Drosophila melanogaster: one gene and its partners. The protein of the gene in region 1 purifies or fractionates together with the protein of each later gene. This does not show direct contact. Each region holds a gene or a part of one and is shown in the gene's direction. Other genes may lie near its edges. The genes, in order: CG8888, Fmo-1, Idh3b and Pcyt2.

Region 1 (8,189 bases):
CCACCTCGAGCGAAGGAGGCTGCATGGTCCATGGCCGTTCTCTGGACTGGACATTAACCCATTTCTCCCCGAATAAGTCGTGACACGAAATACGAAGAACGAAAAACGCCTCGCTGACATTTCTTTGTGCCGGTCGCATAAAATCTGTTGAAATCATCGGAATGTCGCGGCAACATTTTCGTTTTCATTTTTATCTTTTTTACTTTTTGGTTATTTCTGGCTGCTGCCTCTGCCCGCCATTTTTTACAGCCATTATATTAATATTAATGACCTGCGCCACGAATGTTGCTAAATATTTTTGAAAGTCGCCTTTGTCTGCCGGTCAAGCGCTAAAAAACGCTCTGTAGTTTCTGGGCGAACATGACGTATGCGTGATATTCAAATTAGTCTTTGCACTGCGTTAGAATCGTGGCTGAAAGTCAGCCACCATAACCAGTCAATCAAAAAACCATCTGTAACCCAGACTAATTTGCATTTGCATCCGGACTCCGGAGCTGTGAAGCTCTGGAGCTCTGGAGCTCCGAACTGTGGAGCTGGGAAAACTCTGGTGAGAATCCACAGAGCCATAGTTTCGCATTTGCACACACGTAATCATCGAAAGGCAACCAAATCCTCTTGTTTTTCCACTGCAACTTTTCACGCTGCCTTTGTACTTTTAATGTTGGCAGAGTATTAGTATTAGTCCCAAGGGCCAAGCATGGAAGCACCCCTCTGGATTCCTGGTATTTGTTATTGTCATCGCTGTTGTTGGCCCACAATGTAATTTGGTTTGGACTTTCACGACTTGTTGGCTTCTTCCCCCTAGCCAGTTTGCAGTGGCAAATTTTCTGTTGCCCTCGGTCGATGGTTTTTCGGTTTACCAATTTATTTATTTCCAGCCACTTTCCTAGCTAGCTAGCTGCCCATTGTGTTGCTGGCACATTGCAATTTTCAAATACATCCGCAATGGATTTGGATGTGGATGTGTTTTCTGCTGCTCTTTTTGGAAATGTTACTCTAGGACTAGGGTTTGGATTAAAATCCAAAGGCGAACAGCAAATGAAAATACCATTTCTTGCACTTTATTTATGTAAAGCAACTAGGGCGTCATGCTGATTTGAAGGCAACATATAGATTGCACATTTATTGTATGCAAATGCAAGCTAAAAGCTTATAGGAAATTGATTTGCTCGTATAGTTTTCACTTTATAGTTTTAAGAGCATTTAAAAGCCGGCTAGCATGTGAGTGCCCTTTGTCTATTGTTTCAAATTCAGCTTTCAATTTAAATTGTTTGGATTACTCGTCCTCTATTGTGTACATTGAAAATGTATTTCGGGGTATTTGTTGTGTCAACACCAAGTGAACGAGATAGTAGCACCCACTACCAACTACACACCACATGTCCCGATTTAGTTGCCCTGATTTCTCAGCCAGACAATAGGACGCGTCGCTAATGTCCCCGTGCAGTAATAATAATATATATATACACATATATATCGTGTGGCTGCTAATGTGGCAGCATTGTATTGGGTTAATTATTCTGGTCGATTTAAGCATTTAACTTTTGAAAGGAGCTGTCAAAGTGTGATGTCAGTACGTCAGTCAACAATACCAGCAATATTACACACACAAAAGCCAAAGAAGAATCGCACTAATCGCCGAGCATTTTGTCCGCGTGGGTGGATGACGTCTTAAAGTTGCTCCAACAGGTCTCTGGCTGATTGTTTACTTTTCACGCCATGTATTAGCCATTGTTATGGTAAAGACTTTATAATAATTCAGACAACAAAGTGCGGCAAATGTTTACATGTCCTCTTTCTCCTCATCCCCGTCGTCAGCGTCCACGCCCACCGCCTTGTCGGGATAGAATTTCTTGAGTATCCTGTTCACATCGGGCACCAGTGCCTCGTAGTCCAGTGGGAACTTATCCCGACGCGGCGGTCCCTTCTCCAAGCCGGACCACAGCAGATGCTCCGAGGTGCGTGCATTTTGCGAGAACCCTATCTCGAAGGCTCCTTCCCGCGGAACCTGGCGTCCGTTTCGATTCTTCACCAGCTGGAACTTGCGCTCCGGTATCCGTTGCGTGAAGAATGTTCCGCACTCGTCGGCCTTGGTCTGGAAAATGGGACACTCGTACGTGTGCTCGATGTAGATCATGGAACGATCCTTGGAGAAATGCTCATCGGAGGACCAGTCCACGTCCTTTTTCTTTTTTGCCGGCTTCTTTGGTGGCATTGTGGTTTTTTTTTTAGATTACTTTCACAATTTCGAAGTGATTTTGTTAATAACCAAAACCCATTTTTATTTCGAATGTTGACAATCCTAGAATTCATAATTGCTTTGATTGATTGCTTTTTGGTTCACTTATGATTCTCTGGTACAAAAGTACTGTGAACCATAAATCTTCTTTCGTACATTTCAAAGTGCGCAACGATGTCCAGAATATTTTTGCTGCGCCTATTTTTAAAATGCATGACAATCCGAAAGAGTCAACAACTTTTGGTGGCACGCATACGAAAAGAATCGCTGTTCGTTTGTTAATTTGGCTACATTGACTGACAACGCAGCCGCCTTTGAAAAAATTACAAAAAACGATATTGTATAGATGCAGGGGAAAATGCTTCCATTGGCTGGGTAGCCACAATTTTGTTCATTATATATAGATTTTTGTTTTGTATATATGCAAAGCTCCAATATAGACGTCAATTTATGGCACTGTCTATATTCATGCAGAAAAGCTACTCAACAAATTCTATGCATAACAATAATATATTGTTGGACACAAAAACATGCATAAACAATGGGAGAAAACATAAAAATCGAGTATTTAAAGCAAGTAAATTATACGATGAGAGCATTTCGACGACTATCAGATATTCTTTACGGATTCCATTGAATGTAGGTTTATCACAAAATACGCTGATATTTATCATAAGCTGGAAGAAGATACCAATACCAAATCAATGGATTGTTTTCATAAAAAAATGAAGAATGAAATCGCAAACCCTATTATTTTCAAGTCTCTTAATAGTGTTTGAAGGACATCTAATTGAACTGATTTTAAGAGCAAACATAGTCTTCTTATATAATTTGTGCATTTTTAATTGGAATCATTTAAATTCTTATTTTGGAGCGTAAACATGATTGCAACACTCTTTTATTTGCTTGATTTTATTGGTTGCGGGATTGCGAGATTGCAAATGGTCATTTATTGCATTTTATTTCTCCATTTCTCGTGGCTGAAGCTGAATGATTTTTTACCTTCAGCTGCCCACACGTGGCCCGCATTTTCCTGATCCCCCCCAACCCCCTCTGACCCAGAGGGTCATGGTTTATTTATGCAATTTTCCAATTTTCCCAACATCGGCCCACAAATAAAACCGAAATGAAAGCATACAAAATGCAGCAAAGAGCTGGGAATTTAAAAAAATAAAAAACCAAAAATGTATATGAAAATGCAATTTGCAAATTAACAACAACGCAATTGTAAACAACAGTGACAATGACGTCACAGTGAAACATACAACAGAAATCTATTCGTTGTGGGGTTAAGAATGCAACTTTTGGCGTTTGCACACATACTAATTATGCGCATAAACTGTGTATTCAAAACTAGGGTCATTTTGAAGCAATATTCAAATGAGCCAAAAAGAATATTTCAACAAATGTATCTGCACACTCGGAGTTTTTTTTCTGCTGTTTTTCCGCTGTGGAAAAATAATCATCGATGCTGCGGCTTCAGTGGGGCAGCGCCAAGAGCAACAAATATTTAAATATATTTATTATTCTGAATAGGCGTGCCAGCGTGTGTATATGTATCCCACATACGCATGTCTGCACATACTTCAGATATATTTTTAAAAAATCAAAACGACAATTTGCTGCTTGCATCATTTTGAAATACAACAGAACTTGAACGTCGACGTCGACGTCGCCAGCGGCAGCGGCAGAGATCGTCGATCGGCGAGCGAAAATTTTCGGCAGCTGCAGGCAGCGCCACTCGATCGTACCGCTTAGTGCCACGCCGTGTCTCAGAGCGCCCAGGCCACGGGCCCCCAAACCGTACCGCTGCGGAAAATCGATCTTGAAAATATATACAATACAAAAAAAAATCTAAAACTCTAGCACCGGATATATTATAGTCTAAGACTACGAGAATTGCCCACTTCATTGGGAAAGTGCGTGAAAATCCGAACATTACCATCGACCATCTACACCATCATCAGCATCCGTCATGCAGGTCTTCGATAACAATATGGTAAGTGAAATCTAGCCTGCGGCAAAAAAGCCATTTGTGGCCATGTTTACGCAGGCCAAATTTATTGTCGCCACGTTTGTGTATACCTTATGGCACACTTAGCCCAGTTAGCTTAACCCAGAAATGCCAATACACAAACTCCAGTCTGGCATAACCACGCCCATTTTGGCCGCAGAAGAAAAGGATATCCTTTGGCGGCAACGAAGGAGCAGAAAGGCAGGAAGTCATGCGGTGTTCAGAACGGGCCGCCAAATTAATTACAAAAATTCACTTAATGGCCACGATCCAAGTGGGTCAACGTACGTGCGAGCCACTAGAAATTGAAAGATGCAAAATGCTAGATGCAAAATGCTAGATGTAAAATTTAAGTGTTCCGCCAGAGACTTGTCAAAATTCTACCGCCTGCCTGGGATTTTAAGTGCAACTTAAATGGATGTAGTAATGTTATAATGACTACATTATAATCAGATTTGCACAATAAAAGTCTTGACATTGAGGCAAACGATTATGAACATTCCACAAGGGATTGGATTTTTTCCAAACGAAATACACATCAAATACATTTTCATCATGAAAATACAGTGCGAGTATTTTTGCAATGCCAGAACTTTCCATTCCATTTGATTCGGCCGCATCATCTAAAAATAAATATCCATATCTTTATTAATAATAAAAATAAGCTTGGAGACATATACCGATTTCTTGGCAGCTGAGCGACCCCATTAAGTACATAAATCGTACATAAATACACATAAATATAGATATATCTGAACCGGCAGCAAGTGCATATATGTATATGTACATACATAGATCGGATCGAAATTGTCGCCCATATGTAGGCCACTTACAGAATGGCGGCATTAGTCACATATAATACTCACGTATCTGTGGCAAACTAAGTCCCAAAATTGGTGGCAAGGTCGCCGGATGACGAAAGCAATCCGAAATGACATGGTCGATTTCCTTTTAATATTCCAGACAGCACTAGGAGGTATAAATAGATCCGGCGATTTTACAAATCCGGCGAAGGAAAAATAGTCGAAGCAACCGAAATGGAATTGCTTTATTTTCAGGCCGAATAAATCAATTGGCTTCTGTATTTATGCAGATGCCACCATTTGATTATTTCGCACTGTCGTTGATTTATGGCCAATGGCCAAAAGGGGCTGCCAAGGGTGCCCTCTTGCCAGCCATTTTTCCCACACACACAACCGACCGATTTTCCAGTGGCTTTCCCACACTTTTTCGAGAGTATTGTGCACGTCATGTGTAATTGCTATACGTCAATGTCAATGTGTGGGTTAGCGTCTGATAAATGCAAGCATATGTATATGTTGGTGTAAGTGCTTGTGGTCGTTTCCGGATCCTGTGGCTGCAATTGGTTAGCTTTAATGAAATGCCCGATGATATATTGTTGGGCAAATATGTGCTCGACCATTTCATCAGCCATTGAATTCGAACATTGAGCAGAAGTATTATCGATTTCAACGAGCACCAAATCGGAAGTCCTGAGTCAATAAATTGTATGGATTGCAAATGGCAAAAGATTTTCATCAGCTTTTCTCGATTGGCGGGCAACAGATTGCCGCTCAGAGTTTTCCAGCGAATTCCCGACTAATCCAAATAAAACTTCACAGCTTCCCCGACAATTCCGGTAAACTCAGGACACCTGTCAAGCAGAAGAAAGCACTCAATGCAATTCTGGGAATATTTCCAATCGGATATCTTTGATTTTCCGCTATGGAAATAAAAACAATGAGTGCGTGCAATAATTTGCATATTCACCTTATTTATTGATCAAAACACAAACAAACGAGAGCTGCCACAATTGTTTAAATATTTCCCAAACAAACAAGGCGCAGCTATTTTGTCTGGCTATTTATAGAGCTGAAAACTGAAATGCTAAATGCGCTGCAATGAAATGAATAATTAAATTGGCATATATACCACCGTGATTAATATCTATCTATGTATCTATATATCTTTTATCCTTTAGCGCCGTGCCTCGCGACGCGCCTCCTTGCGACGAGGATCCATATCGGCACTGCCGCAGAAGTCGCACGAGATTCCCTGGGACATATTCGAGCGACTATTCATGCCCTTCCTGTTCTGCCAGGCGGCGGCCATTGTCACATCGCACCTGCTCCACGCCCTGGACATCTCGAGCATCTCGACCTTCGCCGTGTTCGTCTGGTTCGCTCTGGCCACCGTGGGAGCCGTGCTCTTCTATCACTTCGTCAAGGTAAGTCATCCCGCTTGGCAGACTTTCTAATCCTTAATTCTGGCGAAAACCGCATAAGGGATCGGAGTGTCTTGGGCTTGGGCCTGGGATTGGTATTGGACTTGGGGTTTTCGGTTTCGGTTTCAGCGCCACGGGCGTCCATAAGTTAGGGGCTCTGTCTGCCGGGAACGGTCTTTATTTTTCCCTTCCGTTTTGGCCGGGTACAAGTGCCAAGCCAAAACCACAAGTGACGACGGAGGGTCTCAAATACTAGGCAAAACAAATCAGTGGCACTAAAAATAGTCGTCGGGCCAGCAAAGAATCCATATACACAAGGCGGCGGAAGGAGAGGGTCCTGCGGCAGGCACGTCGTCAACTTATGCTTAACCAGGCCGAAGGGGAAGGAGGAGCTGGTGGAGCAGATGTAGCAGGAGGATGCACAGGAAACCCTTGACTATGGATTTGGCTTCGGATTTGCCTGCGTGTGGTATTTCAGGGCTTATACTGTGCCTGGCAGCCAGCCGGGAAATGAAAATGAAAACAAATAAATAAGCAGGCAGGCAGAGCAGAGCAGTCCTGGTGGGCAAACCCGAGCACAACTTGCTGAAAGAAAAGGGTTTGGTAATGAATATAAATTCGCAAGTAGGAAAAATGTGGAGTCGTGATTCACTTGAGACCAGCCGAAAATTGCTCCGAGTAGGAGCTATCTAGTAAATTGTTAGTCATTTCAATCTACTTTCGAACTTTCTTAGACTTTAAGGCTGCGGCAGACAGTCAATTATGTTAAAGGGCGTCTTTAAAGTAGTCAGTCGTTAAAATCATCAAAAGATACTTCAACCACTAACAAACAAAACACCTTAGTTAACTTAGATATTTATTAGAATAAACTATCAATTACTTAAGATAGTTAGGCATTTAGTGAACGCTCCTCGCAATCCCATTATTCAGGCGTATAATTTCCAGCTTTACAACCTATTCTTTGTGCATAACTTAATCCACCAAATGCCGAGTCATTGCCTTCCTCTAGTTTCAGTTACTTCCATGATTCGATATTAAATATTAAAAGCCTTGGAGGCTCTATTTCAACATCCTGTTTGCTGGCGCCTTGCTCAATTAAACTTCTAAGCAGCTCAACCGAAATGCCCCTCAGGTCATGTGTGTGTGTGCCCCCCCCCCCCTCATAGGATTATTTGCCCTAATATCCTCGCATTAACTGCGCAAATTACCACAATGCGTATACGCAAAGCCATCAAATCCAATAAGGTTATCTCTCGATTTCGCACCATTTGCCTCGTTGCACATCCATGACCATCACCAATGGCATCGACGAAGTTGGCAGATAATTCAAATTTGCCTGCACTTTAATTAGCCTCCTTTTGGAGCTGGGAACGAGATGGGAGTAGTGACACTGGCCATTTGCTGCCTGGCAATTACAGGTGGATAAGAGTTCCGAGCACCGTGTCCAACATTCGTGGCACGTAACCATCGTCCTGTGCCTGGGCACTGCGTATCCGTATCGGACGGACGGTGGACAGGGCTGCAGGTGCCAGGATGGCATTGTCCTGGCAATTGCAGGCTGCTTGTGCTGCACTCAACGCGATGCGCAACCCGACATTAAGGTAATAAGCACGACGGCAGGATAATTAACAGCAACGGTAGCAGATGCAAACCCACAAAACGGGGACACGGCAACTGGGGGGCAGGACTCAGCTGTCTTGTTTCACCAAGGA
Region 2 (7,279 bases), about 12 Mb from region 1:
AAGCGCATTGTGAACCTCATCAAGCGGTACAAGTACCAGATGAGCTACTACGAGGGCTCTGGCGAGGGCAACAACAACTCCGACGCCTACTTCAGTTTCCTGGACGATGACCTGTGGAAGTCGGAGAAGAACCTGCCCTCCGCGGCGGGCGGCGGCCGCATGGTGAACAACACGAACTTCAGGAAGCACCTCAGCTCCGAGAGCCTGGACCTGCGCGAGGAGCTCTCGCTCGCCTTCGAGAAGCTGTTCGAGAAGGCACACGACTTCACCGACTCCCCCTACATCAGCCACAACCATCGGAAGAACATCCTCTCCTACTGCGACAACTGCAAGCTGGAGTTCGACCTCTACCTGAACACCATCATGAAGGATCAGCACGAGGGTGGCGGTGGAGCCGGTGGAGTTGGAGGAGTGGGCGGAGGCCAGGTGAAGGGTCGGTCAGATCCCGAACTGGGTATGCTGAGCAGCCTGGAGGAGCTGTGCAAGCAGTTGGTCGTCTCCGTGTCCAGCCAGATCGAGGATTTCAACGAGTCGCTCAAGATCTGCTCCAAGCTGGTCAAGTCGTTCCACGTACTGGCAACGAACTACGACATCGACAATCTGAACCAGCGCTCCTCGAAGTTCCACGACTGCTGCGATCACATCTTCGACATCTGCAAGCTGCTGCAGCACATTGCGCCCACGGAGCGGCTGCAGGTGCAGGCCAAGTGCCTGGCGATCAACCTGCGGATCTACGGGCCGCAGGTCTTCATCGCGGCCAAAATCCTGTGGAAGTACTCCAACAGCAGTGCGGCCAACGAGAACTTCGAGTCCTTCTCGGACATGTGGAAGTGGCTGACGAACGAGATCTCCATGATCGCCAAGAAGATCCTCGTCTCGATCAACACCACCAAGGGTGACAGAGATGCTGATGCTGAGGTGGGTTGCTGCCCAGAGTGGGCGAGGTAATCACTAACTTACTTCCGATCTTCCCCAGAAATGCGAAAGCTCCTCAGACAAACTAACAAAATCCGGTGTACCTGCAACAGAAGACGGAGAAATGGTTGAGTATTCTGGCCTCGAAGGCAAGAACAACGGAGATCTGAACACATATCAATCAAAATGGAGCGAAGACTTGTCGGACGACAACGACATACTGAAGAGAGCCAAGAACATGTCCGCGATGGCTTTCCTAATGTATCAGTTTACCAAGGGCAACGGTTCTCTAAGAACAACTCAGGATTTGTTTACTCAAGCCGAATATTTTGCGGAGGAGGCCAATCGACTTTACAAAGTCCTCCGCCACTTTTCATACCAGGTAATTATCGGTTGATAATGGGCATCCGTGTCGCTAACTCTGCGCTTGTTTAGGTTCCCGCCAGTGACAACAAAAAGGATCTCCTCAACATTTTAGATAGAGTGCCGACTTTTGTCCAAGCACTCCAGTTTACAGTCAAAGACCACACGGTTGGTAAAGCCGCCACCTTCGTGAAGGTCGATCACGTCATCAGGGAAACCAAGAACCTTATGAACGTTATAAACAAAGTAGTGTCGAAGTGCTTTGAGTGCGCAACTAAGGTAAATAGGCCGAGGCAGGCCCACGCGGCCATTTCCTATATGTAGTGGATGATACTACAGACTTTCTCAATGTGTATGATTTCTATAGTTTACTGTGATATTAAAGCATGCATTATTACAGGTATGATTTTAGAGCTTTCGTTTGTTGCCAGGGGCGCAGGAGAAGCCTTTTGGTTTTTGAGGATGTGCTTCAATCCCCGTTTCTAAACTCTCAATCTTATTAGTTACATCTCTTACTTTCGACTTTGCTAATGTAGATGGCGCTGTATCTTAATCTTAATCGCTAACTTTTGTATTTCACGCATGTATGTACATATGTATCTTGATGTATTGAGTTTTGAGTTGAGTTGAGTTGATAGCTTGATAAGATCCCCCATCGTGTGTTTATCTAACCCAACTGTGACCTTTAACCAACAATTGGTTTTGGCCACTCATAAGCTGCAGTGCCAGCTCCTCTACGAACTCCATCCTAATCCTAATCCCCTTGCTCCGCCTTGCAGTACAAACTAAATTTAACTGGCATAACCGGAGGACTCACCTCGGAGCGGTCGAACGAGAACATGGCCGGCGGCATGTGCGATTCCAAGGGGACGACGAGCAGCAGCGACATTCCCTGACATTACGGGATGGCTCGCCGAGCCAAGGGGGATGCGCGAAGGACGAGGGTGTCCTTCCTGCTGTTCTGAGAGGAGCCCGGGGGTTTTGCTATCGTAGTCTACACTGTTGGCACTGCATTCCGTTTTGTGTACGCGTATTAGTTGGCGGCCGCTTCTAGCGTTGATTAATGTCGAAAACTTTATTAACATACGAGTCCAATTAGTTGTTTCAGCAGCACGATCTTATAATGCATATTTTGTTTCACTACATTCGATGTTACGGCAATAAAGGTAACGCAGATGCAGATACATATGTATCTCGAGCTCTTTCACTTGGGTCTACAAGTCGGTGCGTAGATAGTTCCTGCTGCTTTCGTTCACGATGTGAGTGCGGGGCATCATGTTGCAGCAGCTCATCTTCGGTTCCTGCGAAAGATTGTACACCTTGAGGGCCACTGTTTCCTTCGACTGGTCTGTTTGGACGGTGGAGTCCCTCAGCTTCAGCAGGTTCTTGAAGAACATCAGGTCCAGGGCGAACAGAGCGGCGCAGATGAAGCAAAGTGCTCCCAATGCATAGGCAAATATCAGCAGATCTTCGGACAGCTGCTCCACCGTGAAGAATATCAGTAGTCCTGGAGGAGAGAGTTCATCACTCTGACATTACTGCATCCCAGGAGCCATATTACCCTCTATGGTGAAGAACAGAACGCCACAGGTCAACAGAATTATCTCACAGGTGCCATAGTTTGAGGTGCCCTCGATGATCCTAAGAGGAGATGGTCTTAGCATATCATATATATATATGTCATAGTCACTGGGTGGTTAGTTACCTCGTGAGCAGCAGCACAGCTGCAATGAAGGTATAGCCCACGAAGGTCAGCGTGCCGAAGTCATCGCCCTCCTTCGACCAGGAGATGCTGTTGAGGAGGGTCCACTCCCTGGACTGCTTCTTGTTGATGGCGAACACCCGTTCCGAGTGCTTGTCCGACAATCGCTTTACAATCAGGGCCGCCACCGTGGCAATCTAATGGGGATGTATCTCTATCATTCAAGGTAACTCAAAGTCTCCTTCTAACTCGAAGATACTCGCCAGTTGGAGAACTTTGGTGCAGATGCAAGCTGGTAGCCCCATGTTAGACGATCTTGACGTGCACTTTGCTACTGCGGCACGTACGTTCCGAATCCGCCTGACCCATGCAAATTTTCTCACATTCAATTTCGCAGTTTAGCGTGGGAAAAGACGAACTCAAAGAAGTTGGCCTCATGGCCCATAGTCCATAATAGCCCAAAACCTTGAACTGCTCAACGAATCGAGCACATCTGAGCATCTGTGGGCAATTGCTGTGCCGCCTATGCTTCCTATCGGCAGTGTAAATATTAATATAATAAATATATATGTTTATATGCCCCATAAACAAAAGGCGAGACAAAAGCAGAGGCTTTATGCTCTTTCTTATCAGCGCGATTACAAAAAACAAGCACAGCGATTCATACGGATTGCGAATGCAAGATACTCTCATTAGACTTGCATAATTTTACTACTTAAAGGCCTCAGCGAACCTCTCAATGAAGTCCAAGTACCCAACTTTTGCAGGGCTATCAGGCGGGGAAGCCAAAGAGCTCATCACGGTGCGATCCTCAGTTTCGTGGAGGCAATCGGCGTGTAGAAAGCAATCCCGGCCTATCTCACTTAGGATCGCAGCTAGCAATTAAAATTAATATAAGCTGTAACCAATACTGTAATATGATGAGCGTTTGCATAATTGGGGCCGGAACCGCGGGTCTTTGCTGTGCCCGCCATTCGATTGCAAATGGGTTCGAGACCACTGTGTTCGAGCTATCTGACCGAATCGGCGGCACCTGGGTTTACAATGAGGCAACAGGGGCGGTCAATGGCATCGATGTCCACAGCAGCATGTACAAGAACCTACGGTACGTAAATCTTTCGAAAAACCATTTGATATTCTAAGAGTTTCCGGGCCTCTTCAAAGAACCAACCTGCCCAAGGAGGTAATGGGCTTCCCGGACTTCGAAATCGGGGCAAACGAGGCTTCCTATGTGAGATCCGACGAGATCTGCGACTTCCTTAACCAATACGCGAACCATTTCGACCTGAAGAAGCACATCAAGTTCGATAGCTATGTGATTCGAGTTTTGCAGAGGAAAACAAAGTGGCAAGTAAGTCGTGGAGTCAGCTTTATATATAACCACTTAACTGAAACGTTTGCAGGTACTTTTCAAAGACTTGGTCACCAACAAGATAGAGTTCCAGTACTTCGACAAGGTCTTGGTGGCCAATGGCCACTACCACACTCCGAATTATAGCCAAATTCCGAATATGGAAAGGTTTAAAGGGCAGTTCCTGCACAGCCACGACTTCAGAAGTAGGGAGGTTTTCGAAGGTAATTAAGGAATAACTTCTATTAGGTTATTTCACATGGTGTTCCATTCTGCTCAAGGTAAATCCGTTCTGGTCATTGGAGCTGGTCCCAGTGGCATGGACCTGTCGAACATCATTTCCCGAACGGCGGATCGGGTCACCATAAGTCACCACTTGACCGATATCGGGCAACACTCATTCTTCGAGAACGTACAGCAGAAACCCGATGTGCGGGAGCTCGATGAGAAGGGAGCCTTTTTCGTGGACGGATCGTACCAGGAGTTCGACACCGTCTTCTTTTGCACAGGTTACAAGTACGCCTTTCCCTTCCTGACCGTCGACTCGGGCATCTATGTGGAGGACAACTACGTCCAGGAGCTGTACAAGCAGTGCATCAACATCAGGAACCCATCCATGGCTCTGATCGGACTGCCGTTTTACGTTTGTGCCGCCCAAATGATGGACATCCAAGCGAGGTTCATCATGAGCTACTACAACGGATCCAACGAGTTGCCGTCCACGGAGGATATGCTCAAGGACACCCGCGATAGGATGGGCAAACTGTGGGCGGAGGGACTAAGAAAACGCCATGCCCACATGCTGGGTCCCAAGCAAGTGCGATGCAAGTTGGCTTTACTTCTCTATCTGGTTATTAATTCTATTCTCATTTATTATCAAGATCGACTATTTCACGGACTTGTCGCAAACTGCAGGAGTTAAGAACATCAAGCCTGTGATGACCAAATTGCACAACGAAAGCAGCAAGTGCTTCAATGAGAATTTGCTCCACTTCCGGGAGGACAATTTCGCGATTCTGGACGACGAGACATTCATTAAACTCAACTAGATCCTGAATCAATCAATAGGAGCATTAGATTCCAAAACATCGTTTTTGGACTTCCCTTCGAAATAAAATAAATTTCCAATTCTTGTATTCCAAAACAACAGTTTAAAAAATGAGCTTTTATTCTCGAACAAAAACTTTTTGAACACCGGCAAACATTTGTTTGAACATGTTTGTTGGTATTTTTCCAAACAGCTGATTGCGGGCAGCGCACATTCACCAGCTCTGGCCACACTCGCCCGCCTCCTCGCAATCACCTTCTTGCATAATTTTCGGAACACCTCACTTCGCTTTCAAAGTTCGCTGATTTAGGTCGGGTCTTCAAAAGTGGAATAGCGCCTCGTCATGCAGTGTCCGTTCTTGAACCGCTTCACCGCCAGCTTCATCCGCAACTACGCGGAGACGCTGTGCCAATCCTACGGGAGCCACTGTCCCGTGGTTGGGAAGACCTTGGTATCCGGCGAGAAGAAACTTTCACTCGTCGCCGCAAGTGTTACAAGGTCTCACTCGACGGGGGCGAACGCCCACGCCAATGCTGGTGGCCCCGCAACTGCCAACGCCACCGCTCCCGTCTCCGCCCCCGCCTCTGCCGATCCTGGCAAGGCATCCGCCAAGGAGACCTTTCCCTACGAGCGCTTCTTCAACGAGCAGATCATGAAGAAGAAGCGGGACCATTCCTACAGGGTCTTCAAGAAGGTGAACCGCCTGGCAGGCGACGGGCTTTTCCCCCACGCCCTGGAGTACTCGGAGCGGACGGAAAAGCCCATTACGGTGTGGTGCTCCAATGACTACCTGGGAATGTCCGCCCACCCCGGCGTCAAGAGGGCCGTCCAGGACGCGCTCAATAGGCACGGATCGGGGGCTGGCGGCACCAGGAACATTTCGGGTAACTCTCTTCACCACGAGCGCCTCGAGAGTAAGCTGGCTGAGCTCCACCAGAAGGAGGCTGCGCTGCTGTTCACGTCGTGCTTCGTGGCCAACGATTCCACTCTCTTTACGCTCGCCAAGCTCTTACCTGGGTGCGAGATCTTCTCGGACGCAGGGAACCACGCTTCCATGATTATGGGCATACGGAACAGCGGGGTTCCCAAGCACATCTTCCGGCACAACGACGTGGACCACTTGCATCAGCTGCTGAAGCAGACGGACAAAAGCGTGCCCAAGATCGTCGCATTCGAGACGGTACATTCCATGACGGGGGCCATCTGCCCGCTCGAGGAGCTGCTTGACGTGGCCCACGAGCACGGGGCCATCACGTTCATCGACGAGGTGCACGCCGTGGGATTGTACGGTGACCACGGGGCCGGGGTCGGTGAGCGGGATGGTGTGCTGCACAAAATGGACATCATATCGGGCACCCTGGGCAAGGCGTTCGGTAATATTGGTGGCTACATAGCTGGCACCCATAACCTGGTCGACATGATTCGGTCGTATGCGGCCGGTTTCATCTTCACCACCTCACTACCGCCGACTGTACTGTGTGGCGCCCTGGAGGCCGTCAATATCCTGGCATCGGAGGAGGGTCGCCAGCTGCGCCACTTGCACCAACGGAACGTCTCCTACCTGAAGAGCCTGCTGAAGCGAGAAGGTAAGACGTAATTCTGGCATTTATGTAACTCGAATTGAAGGTTATTCTCGCACTTTCGTTTTATTTTAAGTGATGGCTATAAATATAGAAAGAGACACTTAACTTTCAGTTTACTGACTGCATATATAATTGGCCCCATTTCAGGTTTCCCCGTCGAAGAAACGCCCAGCCACATCATTCCCATTAAGATCGGAGACCCTCTGAAGAGCAGTCAAATCTCAAACGTGCTGATCGAACAATTCGGACACTACCTGCAGTCGATTAACTACCCAACCGTCGCCCGGGGCCAGGAGAAATTGCGGCTGGCCCCCACC
Region 3 (8,364 bases), on another chromosome or scaffold:
GTCCACCTGTAGATCAACAAAAATTCGTACACATTTTATTGCACCTGAAATGCTTAAATGAACCATCGAATAATGTAGAAATCCTTTTCCAGATACGACGACGACTTCCGCAAATTGGTGGAGAAGAATGTACCCGGCGCAGGATCCGTCATCAAGGTGGCTCTGCAGGAGGAACCGCCATTCAAGGGCATCACCAAGAACGTCAACGATCAGATCGATAAGGTCAAGTCTGGCATCGAGACAGTGACGTCCACGGTGGACTCCGTTACATCTAAGGTGACGGGCCTGTTTGGCGGCGGCAGCGGCGATGACAAGTCCAAGAAGTCCAAAGTGGAGCCCGTGAAGGCCACTCCTGCTGAGGAAAAGAGACCCTCAAAACCAAGCGAAGTCAGCAAGACTGAAGCGAAGCCAGTGTCGAAGCCAGCAGCAGCAGCAGCGCCTGCGCCCGCTGCCAAGCCTAAGGATAATCCGCTGCCCCGCGATGTTGTTGAGCTGGAGAAAGCCATCGAGCTGTCTGCTCAACTGGCCGTCAAGGAGTACAACGTCGCTATTGGCGTTTTGAAAGGGTGAGCAATTCTCGTTAACTATTCGTTGCGTGATTTTAAATTTAATCAAATATCGTTCAGCTTTAATGACGATGTCCGTAAGGTTGTAGACAAGGCCGTAGAGAATGGAGAGAACTCTCTTTGGACCACGCTGAAAAATCGAGCAAGTGCCCGTGATACGGCAGTGGCTACGGCAGAGCGAGCTGCCCGTGAGGCTCAGGAGAAGATTGGTAAGTCCATTGTTTGTTAAATAGATTCCAAATTTCAGTAACATTCCCTTCTATCAACTGCAGTCGCCTGCGAGATCGCCCTGAGTGCTGCGGCAACGGCCCAAAACGCAAAGAAAGTAGAGGCAGTGCGCGACAAGATCAAGAAGCTTGTGGACCACATTGGCAACGTAAAGGACGAGCTTTACCGGCACAAGGACACGGCCAGCGTGTCAGACAAGTACTGGCGGAATGTGGAGAAGGCGCGAAACTACTTCATTGACGAGATCGAGTCTATCTTCCCCGGCCTCAGTTTGGCGGATAAGAAACTTAATCTGTCAAAGGAGGACCTAGACTTGTTCATCCTGCACGCCTACACCCATGTCCTGGCCTACCAGAAGGAGCTGCAGCGCTTGCAAACCGATGGTGAGCTGCGCCTGAAGAGAGCTATTGACTCGGTTCGCGGTGACAACGATTCGGAGGCTTTGCGCGCCCAACTGGAATACCATTTGGAGGCCGAGCGGCGCAAACTGGCCGTGGAAAATCAAAAGAAAATCTTCCACATCCACGCCGAGTCTGATAAGCTGCTGCGCTTGCAGCTCAAAAAGCAAGCAGAGGCCCACGCCGATCATATAAAGGACATCGTGGCGCAGCGGGAGACCGATCTGACGCGAAGCTTTAAGCGTGAACTTGAGGATAAGCTGGCGACCGAAAAGGCCAACTATAAGTTACAATTGGCCGGGATGCTCGGCAAGCTGCGCGGAATGGACGCGGCTCTGGCAGGTAAGTTATACGTTTTAAACGATATCGGTTGAATGTAGCTAGTGTAGCGTGGCTAGATATATAATGGTTTTCAAACCTTTTCAAAACATGCTGCTATATTAGAGATAGAGGATGAGTTTCAAGGTATATTCACCCTATATGAAGGGTAGTACTTATACCAACTTATTCTTGGTTTAATCAAAATGTTTATTGACATTATATGCAACATTTTTGCAGAGCGTGCGGATGCAGAGCGTACTGCCAATCAGGCGCAGGCCCTTTGGGCCGCCTGCCAAGCTCTGTGGGCCTCCGTGCGCGCTGCCACTCCTGGCGTGCACTATAAGGATAGGTTGCGCCCGTTAAAGAACGAGATCAATGCCATTGCCAAGGTGGCTAGTAAGTTGAAACGTTTCCCACATTTCGATTTCAGTTGCTAAATGCATATGCTTACAGAGGGTGACGACCTGGTGGCCGCTGTGCTGGAAAGCGTCCCGAAGGAGGCTCAGGAGCGCGGTGTCTATCCAGAAGATGCATTGCGCGAGCGTTTCCTGAATGTGGAGCGCGTGGCGCGACGATTGGCTTTGGTGCCCGAGGAAGGAGCCGGCCTGCCCATCTACTTCCTGTCCTATCTGCAATCGCTGTTCATCTTGCGACCCGATAATCCCATATCCAAGGACGAACTCGAGAACAAACCCTTCGACTATAGCAAACTGGACACCTACGATATCCTAAACAGGGCCAGGTGAGGCGATTGATTCATCTATCACTAGAGTTATATAATATATATTATATATATTATGTTTCACAGGTACCATGTGGATCGCAGCGACTTTCTGCAGGCGCTCAAGTACATGAATCTGCTGCAGGGTGCATCGCGCAAGATTGCCGGCGAGTGGATGAAGGAGGCTCGCCTCATGCTGGAGACTCAGCAGGCGGCCAACACCTTGATGGCTCACGCCGCTGCCAGCGGACTATTGTATTTGTAGACTACGTCCCGTGTCCCCTTCCTTCAGAAACAAGATGATACACTTACTATTTGTTATTAGTCCAGGAGAAGATGGTACGATTACCAACAATATGTAATTTGTCCAATTAGCGATCACAGTTGAAACGAAATAGCACTTATATACATATATTTGTAACATTTTGTTTAGCTTCAATTATACAAATTAAACATAGAAACCATCATTATAAAATCCAAAACATAAATACTCTGGGAAGATTTGTAAAAAATTCGATACCAAGGCATGAATGGAATATGATATATTACTAAAGCTGAAATTGGCAAGCTTTGTGTTTCTGAAGAACAATGTGATTAGGCCATAAATAAACATAAAGAACATCCACTTGTTGTTTAATTTAGCGAAAAAAATTAATATAATAAATAAGTTGACTAAAAAGTATGCTGAATGTCAAAATTCAAATAAAATGCATTGGCTAAATTTAATTTCTCTGTTCTGAAAAGAAAGCATGGTAGGCAAGGCAAATGTATTCAAAAACAGGTTACTATGCGGTTGCCGCCAAATTTATTCCTTAAATAATCGTATATGTTCGTTACTAATTTTCGAACGCCAAAATCGCGATAGTTGGTCGTTAGCCAGCACTGGACGCGCCAGTTTCGTGGGCGGCTATCGCCAGCCCTGGTAGTCAGAGGCAATCAGCTGGTTTGCGTGGTCGATTTGGTCCTATTGAAATTTTTCGGTTTGGCACCGGAGCAAAAATCACATCGCAATCAAAAATTTCGCGTGGCCAAAGGACACACTTTTGAGTTTGGATCAACAGCCGGGAAGATCTAGCTAACCGAATAGCAAAATGTCGATGCTGGCGAGAACAGTTGGACGGACGTTCATGCAGGTAAACGGCCATCCAAACCGCAGCTCTTACATAAACACTTGCTCGCGACGCGCTGTGCGAATATTTCTGCGCTGAGGCCTAGTTCTTATACGTTTCTTTTTTTTTTTTTTGAGGTTATAATCCTAGCCAGCCTTAACGATTACATTGCATTCTTCTCGTTTTAGGCTGCGGCAGCACGTAGTCTGCACACCACGTCGACGCTACGGGCTACGGTGAGTGTTAAATGCGCTTATTAAGTGGCACCAGTTGTAACCGGAAAATAATTGGTCTTGCAGGATAACTACGGCGCCAACAGGACCACCTGCACACTGATTCCCGGCGACGGTGTGGGTCCCGAGCTGGTCTACTCCCTCCAGGAGGTCTTCAAGGTAGCTAACCATCCATCAAGTTGCAATCATTCACATACAGTATTCCAATGCGTCCTAATTCTTATAAATCTATACTCTTGCGTCTCTTGATCTCTCTTAAAAAAAAGGTTATTTAAGCTTAGGATCATTGCCAGCTTGGTTTCCTATTTAATAGAAAAGCTTTTTTTAAGCAAGTCGGCGTTTAGTTAGTTATGTACATATTTCTAGAATCTATTAGATTTAAAAAGCACAGGGCTCTAAAAATTAATTAATATATTTCACTCTTCACAGAGCGCATTGTATTTGATAACACTTCCATTTTTCCCGATCACGAGTGTTTTTATTATATAAATCAAAACATCAAACTTATCTGTATCGTAAAGATATGTGATAAGTGGCTGCTACTTGAAAATTTTAGTAGATTTCGGGATTTCCGTTTTAACTGAACATACATGTTCATACGTGCGACTAAATTAAAAAATGCTATGTAAATTCTTTAACTTTTCAAGCCCAATCAATATGCATAATTATCTTATCTTGTCGTTCAGGCAGCCAGCGTTCCCGTGGACTTCGAGTGCTACTTCCTTTCCGAAATCAATCCCGTGCTTAGTGCCAAACTGGAGGATGTGGTGGCATCCATTCAGAAAAACAAAGTGTGCATTAAGGTAAGTTTGCAAGAAAATAAAATAGTGTGATAAAATCTAAACAATGTGCTCCTTCAGGGCGTTTTGGCCACACCCGACTACAGCAATGTGGGTGACCTGCAGACCCTTAACATGAAGCTTCGCAACGACCTGGACCTCTACGCCAATGTGGTGCATGTGCGCAGCTTGCCCGGTGTCAAGACCCGCCACACCAACATCGACACGGTGATTATTCGCGAGCAGACGGAGGGCGAGTATTCGGCGTTGGAGCACGAGTCGGTGCCCGGCATTGTGGAGTGCCTGAAGATTATCACCGCCAAAAAGTCCATGCGCATTGCCAAGTTCGCCTTCGACTATGCGACGAAGAATCAGCGCAAGAAGGTCACCGCCGTGCACAAGGCGAATATCATGAAGTTGGGCGACGGTCTCTTCCTACGCTCCTGCGAAGAGGTTTCCCGGCTCTATCCGCGCATCCAGTTTGAGAAGATGATCGTGGACAACACGACCATGCAGATGGTTTCCAATCCCAACCAGTTCGACGTGATGGTCACCCCCAATCTCTATGGTGCCATTGTGGACAATCTGGCCAGTGGTCTCGTGGGCGGTGCTGGTGTCGTTGCTGGTGCCTCCTACTCCTCGGAATCCGTCGTCTTTGAGCCGGTAAGATTCGCCATAAAGACATAAAGATAATCCATAAGATCGTGATTTACACGGTTCTCGAGCCTAGCTGTGCGAATCCACTTCAGACTATTCTTATCTCTAATACCGATTTCCGATTGCAGGGTGCACGTCACACCTTCGCCGAGGCCGTGGGCAAGAACGTGGCTAATCCCACTGCCATGCTGCTCTGCGGCGTGAAGCTGTTGCGCCACATCAACCTGCCCACCTACGGCGAGATCATCCAGAATGCCATCAACAAGGTGCTGAACGATGGCAAGGTGCGTACTAAGGATCTGGGCGGACAATCGACCACGCAGGACTTTACCCGCGCCATCATCCTGAACATGTCCTAGATGGGCACCACTGTCATCGCCGGCATCGCGATCAGCAAGTCTACAACATCATGGGCAACAACGTTGGCGCTTATATAATCGACATTAGACAGTTTCTGTTGTTGCCACAGCTAAATTTTGAATTGTTGAAAGAAACACCTTGAAAGTTCTTAGTTATCCTATTACGTCCAATTTTTTTTATTTGTCCCGATGTCTTCAGTGCATTCATTTGAGTATTATTTCCGGCGAATATTTAAGTTTAGTCCAATTGAAACGCCTGCAGACCCGCCCCGAATCCAAAAGTTGCGAATTCTTTAGTTTTACCAATTGGCAGTAATACATCGATCCTTGATTATGTTGTAATTATTTACGTATTATTTCCCCCCCCCCCCCTTTTTGATTTCGCAAAGATGCTAATTTACGGTCGAATTATATTTTATGTTTAACCCGTTGAAAAGCAAAACAAAAAAAAAAACCGAAAACAAATGATATTGCTAAACCAATTAACTGATAACGGATGGCTTTGAGTGGACCCACTCCACTGGAGCTGTGAGAAAGATAACAATAAACTCAAATCTAAATTAATTATTATTTAAAAGCCATTGTCAGTTCCGAGCTGTCTAAATTTTAAGTAATACAAACAAAAGATAAAAAAAAAAACCCAAACATATTTCTCAAACTTTTTTTTGACTGGAATGAAAGGCCAAAGGAGATTTCATCGCTATTCCCAACTCCGGCGCCACTTTCACAGGAAATCCAATCCCGTAAAGAGCCGGAAAAGCTCTAGTTGTTTTTTAAAAAACCAAAAACAAATTTATTAGAAAAGTCGATACCAAATGTAGCCGAAATGAAAAACTTAGAACACCAATAAGGACGGTAATGATTATCCAGACGCACAGTCCACGTCCGTCTCCAATTATTATCCACCCTTGGGCTTGGCCAACTCGATGAGGCGTGGCGAGGCTTTGGCCTTCAGAGCCGCCGGCGATATGGCAAACGGATTCTCCCGGATATGCGTGTTCTCGAACTCCTTGGGCTCCGCCAGCTCCTTGATCCGCGTGCTCGCCTTGTATTTGAGCGCGTTTGGCGCGATACCGAATGGATTCTCCTTGACATCCGCCAGTCCTTGGTTGGCATCGCGCGTGGTAAGTGGCTCGGACATCTCCTTGATGCGGGCACTCGCTAAGTGAAGCAATGCCAGGTGCTGCATTATTAAAAGATCAACTAAATTGGAGTATGTGTACTTACGCTTGTAGCGAAGGGCATTGGGCGAGACCTTCTCCGGATTCTCGTTGATGTGGACATTATCGCGCACGACGGGCTGCGATATTTGCTTGATCCGCTTGGTCGCCTTGTAGTCCTTCATCTGGGAGGTCAGCTCCCACTTGGGTTTGATCTCCTCCAAATAGGCCTTGGGACTGGCCAGCTGATTGAGACGCACGGGATCGAACTCCCCAGCTCCACGATCCTAAATGAAATGGGGGATTATCATCAGTTTTTAGCTGAATTTAGTTTTTTTTTTAACTTACCGGTTTCGGGACCTTTGGTGCTTTCTTTGGTTTCGCCAACTTTTCGATGTACTTCTCGTGCTTAGCCAGCTGCTTCTCCGTCTTCTTCTTCTTTTTCTTCCTGCAAGCACAAAGGATAATGGGTTTATAAATAATAATGAATGAACATAAGATAGATAGATATATTATCTTACGGCTTAACCAACGGCTGGATATTCGTGAGACGACTGTACAGCGATAGATAGCTGTAGCGAAGCCATCTGTTCAGTATGGACTCCCCAATTGAGTCGCCCGCCAGAATGGCCGTTCGCCGCCTGTGAAGCAATCGACGGACCGTGGGCAGAGCTAGTTGCTCGGTGCGTGTGTGATTCTGGGCGTCACATGGTCGCACCATCTCGATGGACTTGGGAAATGAGCAGGCGCATTTCGGCACAAAGCGGCAGGTGCGTCGCCTGGGTATGGCCATTTCCATCAGACGCCGCCGCTTGACGAACATGCGCTCGTGTCGGCGCGTCAGTTTGTCCAGCTCCTGGCCAATGTCCCTAACGAAGCACTCGGCATCGTAGGGAATGGGGTCCCGGATGGGACAGCAGTCCGGACGGACGCAGTCCTTCAGCTGCAGACAAGTGGTCACCGTCGGGCTGAGGTCACACTTCAGTCCTTGGATGGTCATTCTGTGGATTTCCGAATTTTGACGCACTACTTTAAACCAATTAATGCTAACTTTTTTATTCGCTTATGATAAAAAACATCTACGATTATCTGAACGAGTTGAAAGCTAACTTCATCTGGAGAATTTTTTGTGGCAACTAAGTACAGAAATTTTGGAATTTGACAGCAAATGAAATGCATACATTTTTCGCTATTAGACAAGATTTTTTAATACTTACCTAAGCTGGAATTTTAATTTCAAAATTAAGCTTTATCCACTTAACCCCGATGGCAATGAAAAGACGTTGTTAATCTTTAATTAATGTTTTATTGACAGTATTCATAAAAATACTGAGAGTATGCTCCAAGTTCACATCATTACAAGTTAATAGTTTTGTTTTTGGGCCTTGTTTTCCGACTGTCCCATCGGCAAGTTGTTAATTTTTTTAGTTTGCTCTCCGACAGCTAACGTATACCCTCTATTTTTGCTCATTCTGTTCACATATACACAAATCTCATCCATTTCTTAAGCAATTTTTGCCCGTTTCCTTGACGTTCTTCTCAACTGATTTCGGTTGGTTTTTATGCTTTTTTACAATGTTTTTGCTTCGGTTAATGTAATGTATCTCCTTACTCTGGTTGCAATTCAATTGGAATTCAGCAGTTCAGCACATGTTCTTATTTGTTCATTATTATTGGCTTCAAATTTGTTGATCGTTTTTTTTTTATTCGTTTGTCTTGCGAACAAAATGTACATAACGTGGAAACGAAAGGGATAAGCATAATGTTAATAATAATTGTTATACACCCACATCGAACTTATGCAATACACTCATACCATACACAAATATGTAC
Region 4 (7,838 bases), on another chromosome or scaffold:
CCCCGCCAGCGCTTCACTTGCTCATCATCCCGCTCCTATCGAGAGTACTACGTGTCTCTGTATGTCTATTATTACCGACACCGAGCCGTGTTGTTGTTTACCCGCTGTTTCAGTTGCGTTTTTTTTTTCTGCGGAATTTCTCTGGTGCGATGCGCGTGGCGAATTGAATCGGCCATTTGGCAATTAAAACTGAAATCGATTTGGCCGTGGCTCAACTTCGAAGAAAAGGGGCGTGGCTGGGGGCGCGGGGTCAGGTGTCACGTGTCGTCAGCGCAAAACAGTCAGAACTACTGCCACCCGAGTCATAAATATTTGGGTTAATGAAAAGGGAATATCTGATTACATAAAAATGGTTTCACAAGAAAGTATCTTTCCATTAGCTGCGCGAATGTGTAATATATTTTTGCTTATGCACCAATGCATTAAATTGTAGTTCAAAAATAACTTTGTTTATTTCGAATTGTTTACTGCTTTATTGGATTTTATTTATAAATTGCTTGGTAAACAAGTGCATATGTGTCGATTAAACAAAACAAGAATACAACTTGTGTTGGTTCATTGAAGTAAAATTGTTATTCCTTTTTGAGAAAACTTATTAACCCTTTGGCTAAAAGTTACAAGTTGGAGTGGTGGAAAAATTGGCAAAGGGAAATTTGAATAAAATCCAGCGAATGAAGAAATTTGATAAATGATGCTTGCAACTACATATAAACAGAATGCAAAGCTAACCAAATGCGGTTTCAAAGAAAAACTTTATAATTTCATAAGACTAAATGTGATGTAAACGAAACGTAACACACAAAATATGGGAAAGTAATGTAGAGCATTGATGGTAACCAATCTGTTTCTCGATCTCTTCCAGCTGAAAGTCAATTGAATCTCTGTTCCTCCGTCACCGCGTCGCGAAGCCGTTAAAACTGCCGCTCCCAAACATTCGCTGCGATGGCCACCTCATCGATACTCGCCAAAAGCACAATTAATAGCACATCGCCACCGGCCACGCCCAGCAGCAGCGCGTCCCCCGGCTCCACACTGACCACCCGGAAGCGGACCTACGAGATAGCCATTGCCATGCCCTCGTCCACCGCCTCCAGCAGCGCCACAAAGGTATCGGAAGTTCAGGATCAGCGCACAAACAGCCCCGGCAAGTCCAAGAGCAGGCCCGGCCAGCTGGAGAGTGTCTTGGTGGTCGGCGAGGGAGCCAGCGAGCCCACCACCTCGGCCACCACACTGCGGGACAGCACACGCACCATCTCACAAAGCGACGCCGACGATGGCGGCGAAGCGGCAGCCGCCGAGGACCTGCTGCCCCCACAGTCGGATTACCTCAACGGCGTCAAGCGGAAGTACGTCCCGCAGCAGCAGGCGTCGCCGAATCACCGGGTGGTGCCCGCATCCACCTCGCAGCAATTCTTCAGCGGGGCCTCCGATTTTGCGGTAAGTAGTCAAGAGTTAGGATGCAAAGTTAGTCTAAATCGTAGTAGCTGAAATCGTTTGAAATTGATGTTCGAGTCGTGAGTCGTATATTTCCGACGATGTGTGATAAGATCGAGAAAGAATGTGTAGACCAAGGACACAATCGTCCAGTTGAATAGCCCAACTAATCGGGAACTTTTCTTCCTGCAGACAATTTGCAAGCCGGCGCCCTACTCTCACGACGAGGAGGCCATGCTGGAGCGGGATAGATGTGACTACACTCAAAGGATCACCTACCAGATGGCCCGCTCCGGACAGACGACCCGCAGGGTGAGGGTCTACGCCGATGGCATCTACGATCTTTTCCACCAGGGCCACGCCCGCCAACTAATGCAGGCCAAGAACATCTTTCCCAACGTGTACTTAATTGTGGGCGTGTGCAACGACGAGCTCACCCACCGCATGAAGGGACGCACCGTGATGAACGGCTTCGAGCGATACGAGGGAGTGCGTCACTGCCGCTATGTGGACGAGGTATGTTCTGCCCGGCACTGATTAGAGATCTTTCAGTCTATAGCATCTTACTCTGTCTTGCAGATCGTCCAGAATGCGCCATGGACTCTGTCCGATGAATTCATCGCCGACAACAAAATCGACTTTGTGGCCCACGACGACATTCCGTATGTAACCGATGGCATGGACGACATCTATGCTCCTCTCAAGGCGCGCGGCATGTTTGTGGCCACGGAGCGCACTGAGGGTGTGTCCACCTCGGACATCGTAGCCCGGATCGTCAAGGATTACGATCTGTATGTGCGTCGTAATCTGGCCAGAGGCTATTCGGCCAAGGAACTCAATGTGTCGTTCCTGTCCGAGAAGAAGTTCCGGCTGCAGAACAAGATGGACGAGCTGAAGTCGCGCGGCAAGCGCGAGCTGAGCAAGGTGAAGGTGGACATCATCACCAAGTGGGAGGAGAAGTCGCGCGAATTCATCGACACCTTCCTGCTGCTGTTCGGACGTGAGAACCTGAATCATTTGTGGAACGAGTCGAAGGGCAAGCTGCTGCAGGCACTCAGTCCGCCGGGCAGCCCGTCGGGATCAGTGAACGGTGATGACACGGAGGGCGGCGAGGACTACAGCGAAACTATTGACGAGTACTTGGAGATGGCCGAGAAGTTGAGCGGGGGCAGCGGCAGCGGCAGCAGTGGATCGCTGAACGGCAAACAGAGGCCGAAGCAGAAGCGCTCCTCGCTGGCCCGCCGCAGTTACCAGAGTCTGCAGAGCCAATCACCCGACTTGGAAGCGGATGGGGACGAGGATGCGGATGCGGATGCGGAGTACGAGCGTCGAAGCAATTGATTCTATTGCGGGGCAGCCCGATCTTTTCTTCTTCTCTTAATGTCTTTAATGCTATTGTAAATGGACTTGCTTGCAACTAGTTCGACGGCACACTATAGATGCCCCAGGATCGCCACGCAGGCTCCACGAACACACACTTATATTTACTCTAGCCCTAAGTGGTATTGTAATCCCAATGTTTTAGTTGGCACTCGTTCTCCTCCTGCCTCAACTCCACCTGCCCATCTCCATCTGTGAGAATCGAGGGAATCCTGTAGCTAATTTAGCTGTGTGTGTGTGTGTGTGGGACAAGCAACCACCAACGCGGAAAAGACTCATTTTTGTATTAGGCACTCGACGGACTGTGCACGAAATCAATCGGCAGTGGCGGCAGATTCAGGTGCCGAAAATATCTAGAAATATTTATATTAAATTATTTCGCATAACATTAAACTAAGTTAACAACACCGCAACCAGAACACCAACCAATATAGAGAAATCCAAACAAACAAATTACGAAATACATTCGGAAAATGCAAAAAACAAAAACAAGTAATTAGTAACAGTTGGCAATAGCGGAACTATTGCAAATGCTTTGTTAAATATTTTTTGAAAAATAAACATTGAATCGAAAGGAAATAGAAGTAAAGCGAGTGGCTTGTGAATCAGTTTGCTATCTCATACGTTTATCCAGCAATTGCGCATCCGATTCAGCAGCCATCCATGGCACTGCTGGAATTCTTGAGCGCGCGCCACCGATGATGATGAAACCGTTTGCCTTGATTGGACACCCATTCCCTCGCAATTAGCTGCCCATTCACCGGCTTGAAGCGGTTCACTGATTTGTTTAATGGCGCTGCGGTTTATATATAGATGCGCACCCATCGCCTGATCGAATCGGCGGACCCGTGCCAAGTCAGGCGACCGACCCGTTGCTTCCTATTTGCTTGCGCCGCAATTTGCGGCAATTGAAGATGAGCGATGAATCCGAGCCAGAGACTTGGGCCTGAGACTGCTAGAGCCGCCTCCAAGTCGTGTGCCTCGCCAGCCGCTGGACTCAATTGTATTGATTCGCCACCAGTTGCCGCCAATTTATTCTGATCGCAGCTAGTGCGCAGTTGGGGACATCTCTCGCTCAAAGTCTCGGACTCAATCCTCGACAGAGTAGACCTAGAGGGTTATGCCGGTTCCGTCTCAATTTATGTAATCAGTCGTCCGGATGAAATCCCCTTGAGCGGACCACTAGTGCTGTACTTAGTTGTGTATACTCGTACATATATTTTTATAAGCAATGGACAGAATGCCGAAAGAGGACGACGAATCTCCAGTGTCGACGGCTCCTGCCACACCGACATCGCCGATGGAGTTTAAGATGCTACCGCTCTTTATGGACTTTGAGGATTTTGTAAGGCTACTCCTTAGAGGAACAGGAGTTGCCACATACTAATCTCTCTACCCCAAAACGCCTCCAGAGCATTTGCCAGCCTGCTCCTTTCTCGTACGATGACAAGGCCATGCTGGAGCTCGAGAGATGCGACTACACACAGAGGATCACCTATCATATGGCCAGAGCTGGGAAGACGACGCGCAGGGTGCGGGTCTATGCAGATGGCATATATGATCTGTTCCACCAAGGCCATGCCCGCCAACTCATGCAGGCCAAGAATGTGTTTCCCAACGTCTATCTCATCGTCGGCGTGTGCAATGATGAGCTGACCCTCAGGATGAAGGGACGCACGGTTATGAATGGATTCGAGCGCTACGAGGCGGTGCGCCACTGCCGCTACGTGGATGAGGTAAGTGTGTTAAACTGAACCAATGAAATGTTTCTATACACTTTTCGATCCATCACAAGATCGTTCCGAATGCTCCGTGGACGCTAAATGAGGAGTTTATCGAGGAGCACAAAATCGACTTTGTGGCCCACGATGACATACCCTATGGAGCTGGCGGAGTCAACGACATATATGCTCCACTCAAAGCGAAGGGAATGTTTGTGGCCACGGAACGCACTGAGGGCGTGTCCACGTCGGACATTGTGGCCCGAATCGTGAAGGACTACGATGTATATGTGCGCAGGAACCTGGCCAGAGGCTACTCAGCCAAGGAGCTCAACGTCTCCTTTCTCTCCGAGAAGAAATTCCGTCTGCAGAACAAGATGGACGAGCTGAAGACACGAGGCAAGCGGGAGCTGACCAAAGTCAAGGTTGACATCATCACCAAGTGGGAGGAGAAGTCGCGCGAGTTCATCGATGCCTTCCTGCTCCTGTTCGGCCGGGAGCGGCTTAACACCTTCTGGAACGAGTCCAAGGGCCGAATCATTCAGGCACTCAGCCCACCAGGCAGTCCGAATGGCTCCGTAAACGGTGACGATCCAGACGCAACAGACGACTTAGACTCTGAGGATGAGTACATGGAGCTGCCACCAGACTACGGGTCTGGTAGTTGCGTATCCCTTAGTCGAAAACAAAAGCGCCCTGATAAGGTGAATGCCTCAGCAAACCTCAATTACTCGGAGCAACCAGAGCATAAGGATGTCGTAGACGAGCGACGCAGCGACTAAAGACGAATTTGGCCTCTTCCTATCAATTAAAACATAAATAAATATGTTTGAAGTTTAATGGAACAGCGCAGTAGGCACTTTTATACATATTTAAAAGAGCTACCAGAAAAAGTATGCGCTTAAAATACATTCCGATAAATTTCAGTTAAATTATGAATATTTCTTTTGGCAAGAAAGTAAAAAGGCGTTTATTTGATATTTTACTTGCTGCCTTTATTGGTTATCTTATGTGTATTGTGAATATAAGTTGGGTTAAATTATAGATTAGCTGAATGATTTTCCAAATCCTCTTCAATGATAGAACAATCGCATTTGTTATTTAAAATAACGTTGAAATATTCGCATAAAAACAAAAATACAATAAATCTTGTAACTTCATAAGCGATCATCATCTAGCTCTTCATGGAGCTCTGTTCATGCCCGTGGCGAACAGGGGAACCATCTTCTTGCCCTTGGCCTTCTTTTGCTTCTTCGATTCCGCTGGAGCTGCTCCATTGGATTTTGCTGCTCCTACCTTTTGCTTTTTCTGGTCCAAGGCTCCAACTAAAAGTTCTCCCAGACCCCAGTGGCCCACAGATCGCTGCTCAAAGTCCTCATCGCTGGTTCTTGGGACCATTACAGCCCGTGGCGGCGGTGGAGCTGAACGGCCCCAGGCGCCCACTTGAACATCCAATGGCGCGCCACCACCTCCAGGAGAATTACTTCCAATAGTGGGCCACATCTCCTGCTTGGGACTTCCCAGAGTGACACTGGAGTATCGGGAACCGGGGTCCTGGTTGCTGATGTTCATGGGCACAGAGCCACTGGGAGCGGGCAAAGCCTCCTCGAAGCCGCACTTTAGATAAAATATCACATATTAATAATTGACACTAATGGCAGGCATTGCTAGCTCACAGTGGGAAACTCATGGGAGGAGCTTAGGTCAAGGTTAGCTGCACTGGCAATAAGTTTGCCCATCTGGCGGTCATTTATCTCGTTGATGTGCTGCTCTCGCTTGCGCTCCTCGCGATCCCGACGCTGTCGTTCCTTCTTACGATGAAGAATGTCCTCTGCGGAAGGAATACATATAAGCATAATGCTGTACATGGACCTAGTGGACTTACCCTTAAAGAGCTTGAGTATTCCTCCAGTGACCACTGGCGGCTGCAATTCGACTTCCACAACCGAAAACTGACAAGTCAAAGGCAAGTGGCCAAGACAAGTGAACTTGCGTCGATGCTCCTCATCCATAGAGTGCTGTTCCATCTGCACGATTTGGGCTTCGATGAGTAGCGGACCCAAGTCCAAGGTGCCGTAGCAAGCCTGAAGCATCTTCACGTTCAAGGGATGCAAGTAAATATTCTGTCCGTCGTTTGACTGGTAGAAATAATAGTATTTATTATGGTTGCTCGAGTAGCTAAGGCTGCTGGATGCTTCTCCCGACGAGATGGAGGCATCGTCTGACTTCTCAATATCAATCTTGGTCTCGGTTTCTAGGCAAAGTACAGGTGCTGTCTCCTCTTCATCCTCTTTCGGATCAGGTTTCTCGACACCCAACTTCTCAACACGCTCCTGAAGCATCACCAGCGCTTGCTGGATGAACACATCCTCGGGACAGGAGACATCCGATTCGGCTAGCAGTTCGTTACGCTCCCTCTCGATGATGGCGGCCACATCCATCCGCTTGGCTATTAGAAACTTTGAGTAGCGTTTAGCCTCTTCACCAGCGGACACAAAGGGGAAACGTTCAATTGTTTCGCCCAATCCTGCAACATGATTTTCAATGTACATGGAGCCCTTGCGACGCCGCATCAACTGGAAGGTAATCTTCTCGCCCACTTGCAAATCCCTCAGCTGTTCGATGGTGCAGCTCTTCAGATCTCCCGCGTGGATGGCGTCATAGCAGATAGGACACTTGCGCCAGGTCTTGTCGCTCAGCGAGAGGTAGTGCAGCAAGCAGGGCCAACAGTAGGCGTGTCCGCATCTGGTGAGCTTGGCAGCCACAGGCGGGTACAGGCAGATGGGGCACTGCAACTCCTCAGTGGTCTGTATGTTGATCTGCTCGATGTAGCTCCAATCGATGAGTGCATCCGGCGAGCCATTAACCTGAGCCTTTGCACCCGATCTAATGACGAACTGAAAGTTGGCCTGCAGGAACTGCTCCTTGTTGTAGCGCTGCTTTCGGCCACTCAGGCCGTGGTGCTGTTGGGCCTGATGGTGATGTCCTCGCTCCAGTTCCCTGGGCACGCAGTGGAAGTTAAGCAGATGGTTCAGATTCTGCTTCTTGCTGCCCTGTGTATACACAGAGTTCAGTTCATGGTCAAAGTCACCGCTACGTGAGTAGCCGGTGGCGGAGTAGGCTAGTCGGGAGCTGCCTGAAGCCCCGTCCTGGCCACGGGGTGAAGGGAAATCGTAACCGCCTCCAAACCCGCGAGCCTTCGGACGCTTGTCCACATTGGGACGTAGCTTTGCTGGCTGCTGTGGCTGTTGTTGCTGATCGTTGCGCGGTGTGGGAACCTGATTCCTTCGACGGCTGTGTCGC

The links.
Region 2: the proteins of CG8888 (region 1) and Fmo-1 purify together in Drosophila melanogaster (affinity purification with mass spectrometry, with the first as the bait; one large-scale study listed by BioGRID). This does not show direct contact.
Region 3: the proteins of CG8888 (region 1) and Idh3b purify together in Drosophila melanogaster (affinity purification with mass spectrometry, with the first as the bait; one large-scale study listed by BioGRID). This does not show direct contact.
Region 4: the proteins of CG8888 (region 1) and Pcyt2 purify together in Drosophila melanogaster (affinity purification with mass spectrometry, with the first as the bait; one large-scale study listed by BioGRID). This does not show direct contact.

Annotation. Positions count from the first base shown.
Region 1 is NT_033778.4:12,075,344-12,083,532, reverse strand, and holds the start of CG8888 (uncharacterized protein), read left to right. Parts: upstream 1-3,989; 5' UTR 3,990-4,214; coding exon 4,215-4,238; intron 4,239-6,234; coding exon 6,235-6,480; intron 6,481-8,189. Other genes in the region: CG13186 (uncharacterized protein), read right to left, coding at 1,784-2,215.
Region 2 is NT_033778.4:23,959,163-23,966,441, forward strand, and holds Fmo-1 (Flavin-containing monooxygenase 1), read left to right. Parts: upstream 1-3,793; 5' UTR 3,794-3,897; coding exon 3,898-4,085; intron 4,086-4,144; coding exon 4,145-4,331; intron 4,332-4,383; coding exon 4,384-4,555; intron 4,556-4,612; coding exon 4,613-5,148; intron 5,149-5,212; coding exon 5,213-5,380; 3' UTR 5,381-5,479; downstream 5,480-7,279. Other genes in the region: alpha-Catr (alpha-catenin related), read left to right, coding at 1-918, 977-1,297, 1,351-1,557, 2,058-2,174; CG13566 (uncharacterized protein), read right to left, coding at 2,493-2,785, 2,840-2,919, 2,984-3,177, 3,244-3,285; Alas (aminolevulinate synthase), read left to right, coding at 5,723-6,965, 7,110-7,279.
Region 3 is NT_033777.3:22,013,995-22,022,358, reverse strand, and holds Idh3b (isocitrate dehydrogenase 3b), read left to right. Parts: upstream 1-3,174; 5' UTR 3,175-3,325; coding exon 3,326-3,367; intron 3,368-3,531; coding exon 3,532-3,579; intron 3,580-3,642; coding exon 3,643-3,735; intron 3,736-4,262; coding exon 4,263-4,379; intron 4,380-4,436; coding exon 4,437-5,018; intron 5,019-5,140; coding exon 5,141-5,371; 3' UTR 5,372-5,968; downstream 5,969-8,364. Other genes in the region: mitofilin, read left to right, coding at 93-566, 627-775, 839-1,534, 1,637-1,657, 1,751-1,909, 1,967-2,255, 2,322-2,499; Theg (testicular haploid expressed gene), read right to left, coding at 6,270-6,532, 6,599-6,818, 6,880-6,979, 7,053-7,531.
Region 4 is NT_037436.4:1,549,852-1,557,689, forward strand, and holds Pcyt2 (phosphocholine cytidylyltransferase 2), read left to right. Parts: upstream 1-3,641; 5' UTR 3,642-4,045; coding exon 4,046-4,159; intron 4,160-4,226; coding exon 4,227-4,550; intron 4,551-4,609; coding exon 4,610-5,317; 3' UTR 5,318-5,464; downstream 5,465-7,838. Other genes in the region: Pcyt1 (phosphocholine cytidylyltransferase 1), read left to right, coding at 943-1,437, 1,627-1,950, 2,014-2,775; CG12099 (uncharacterized protein), read right to left, coding at 5,718-6,152, 6,212-6,366, 6,421-7,838.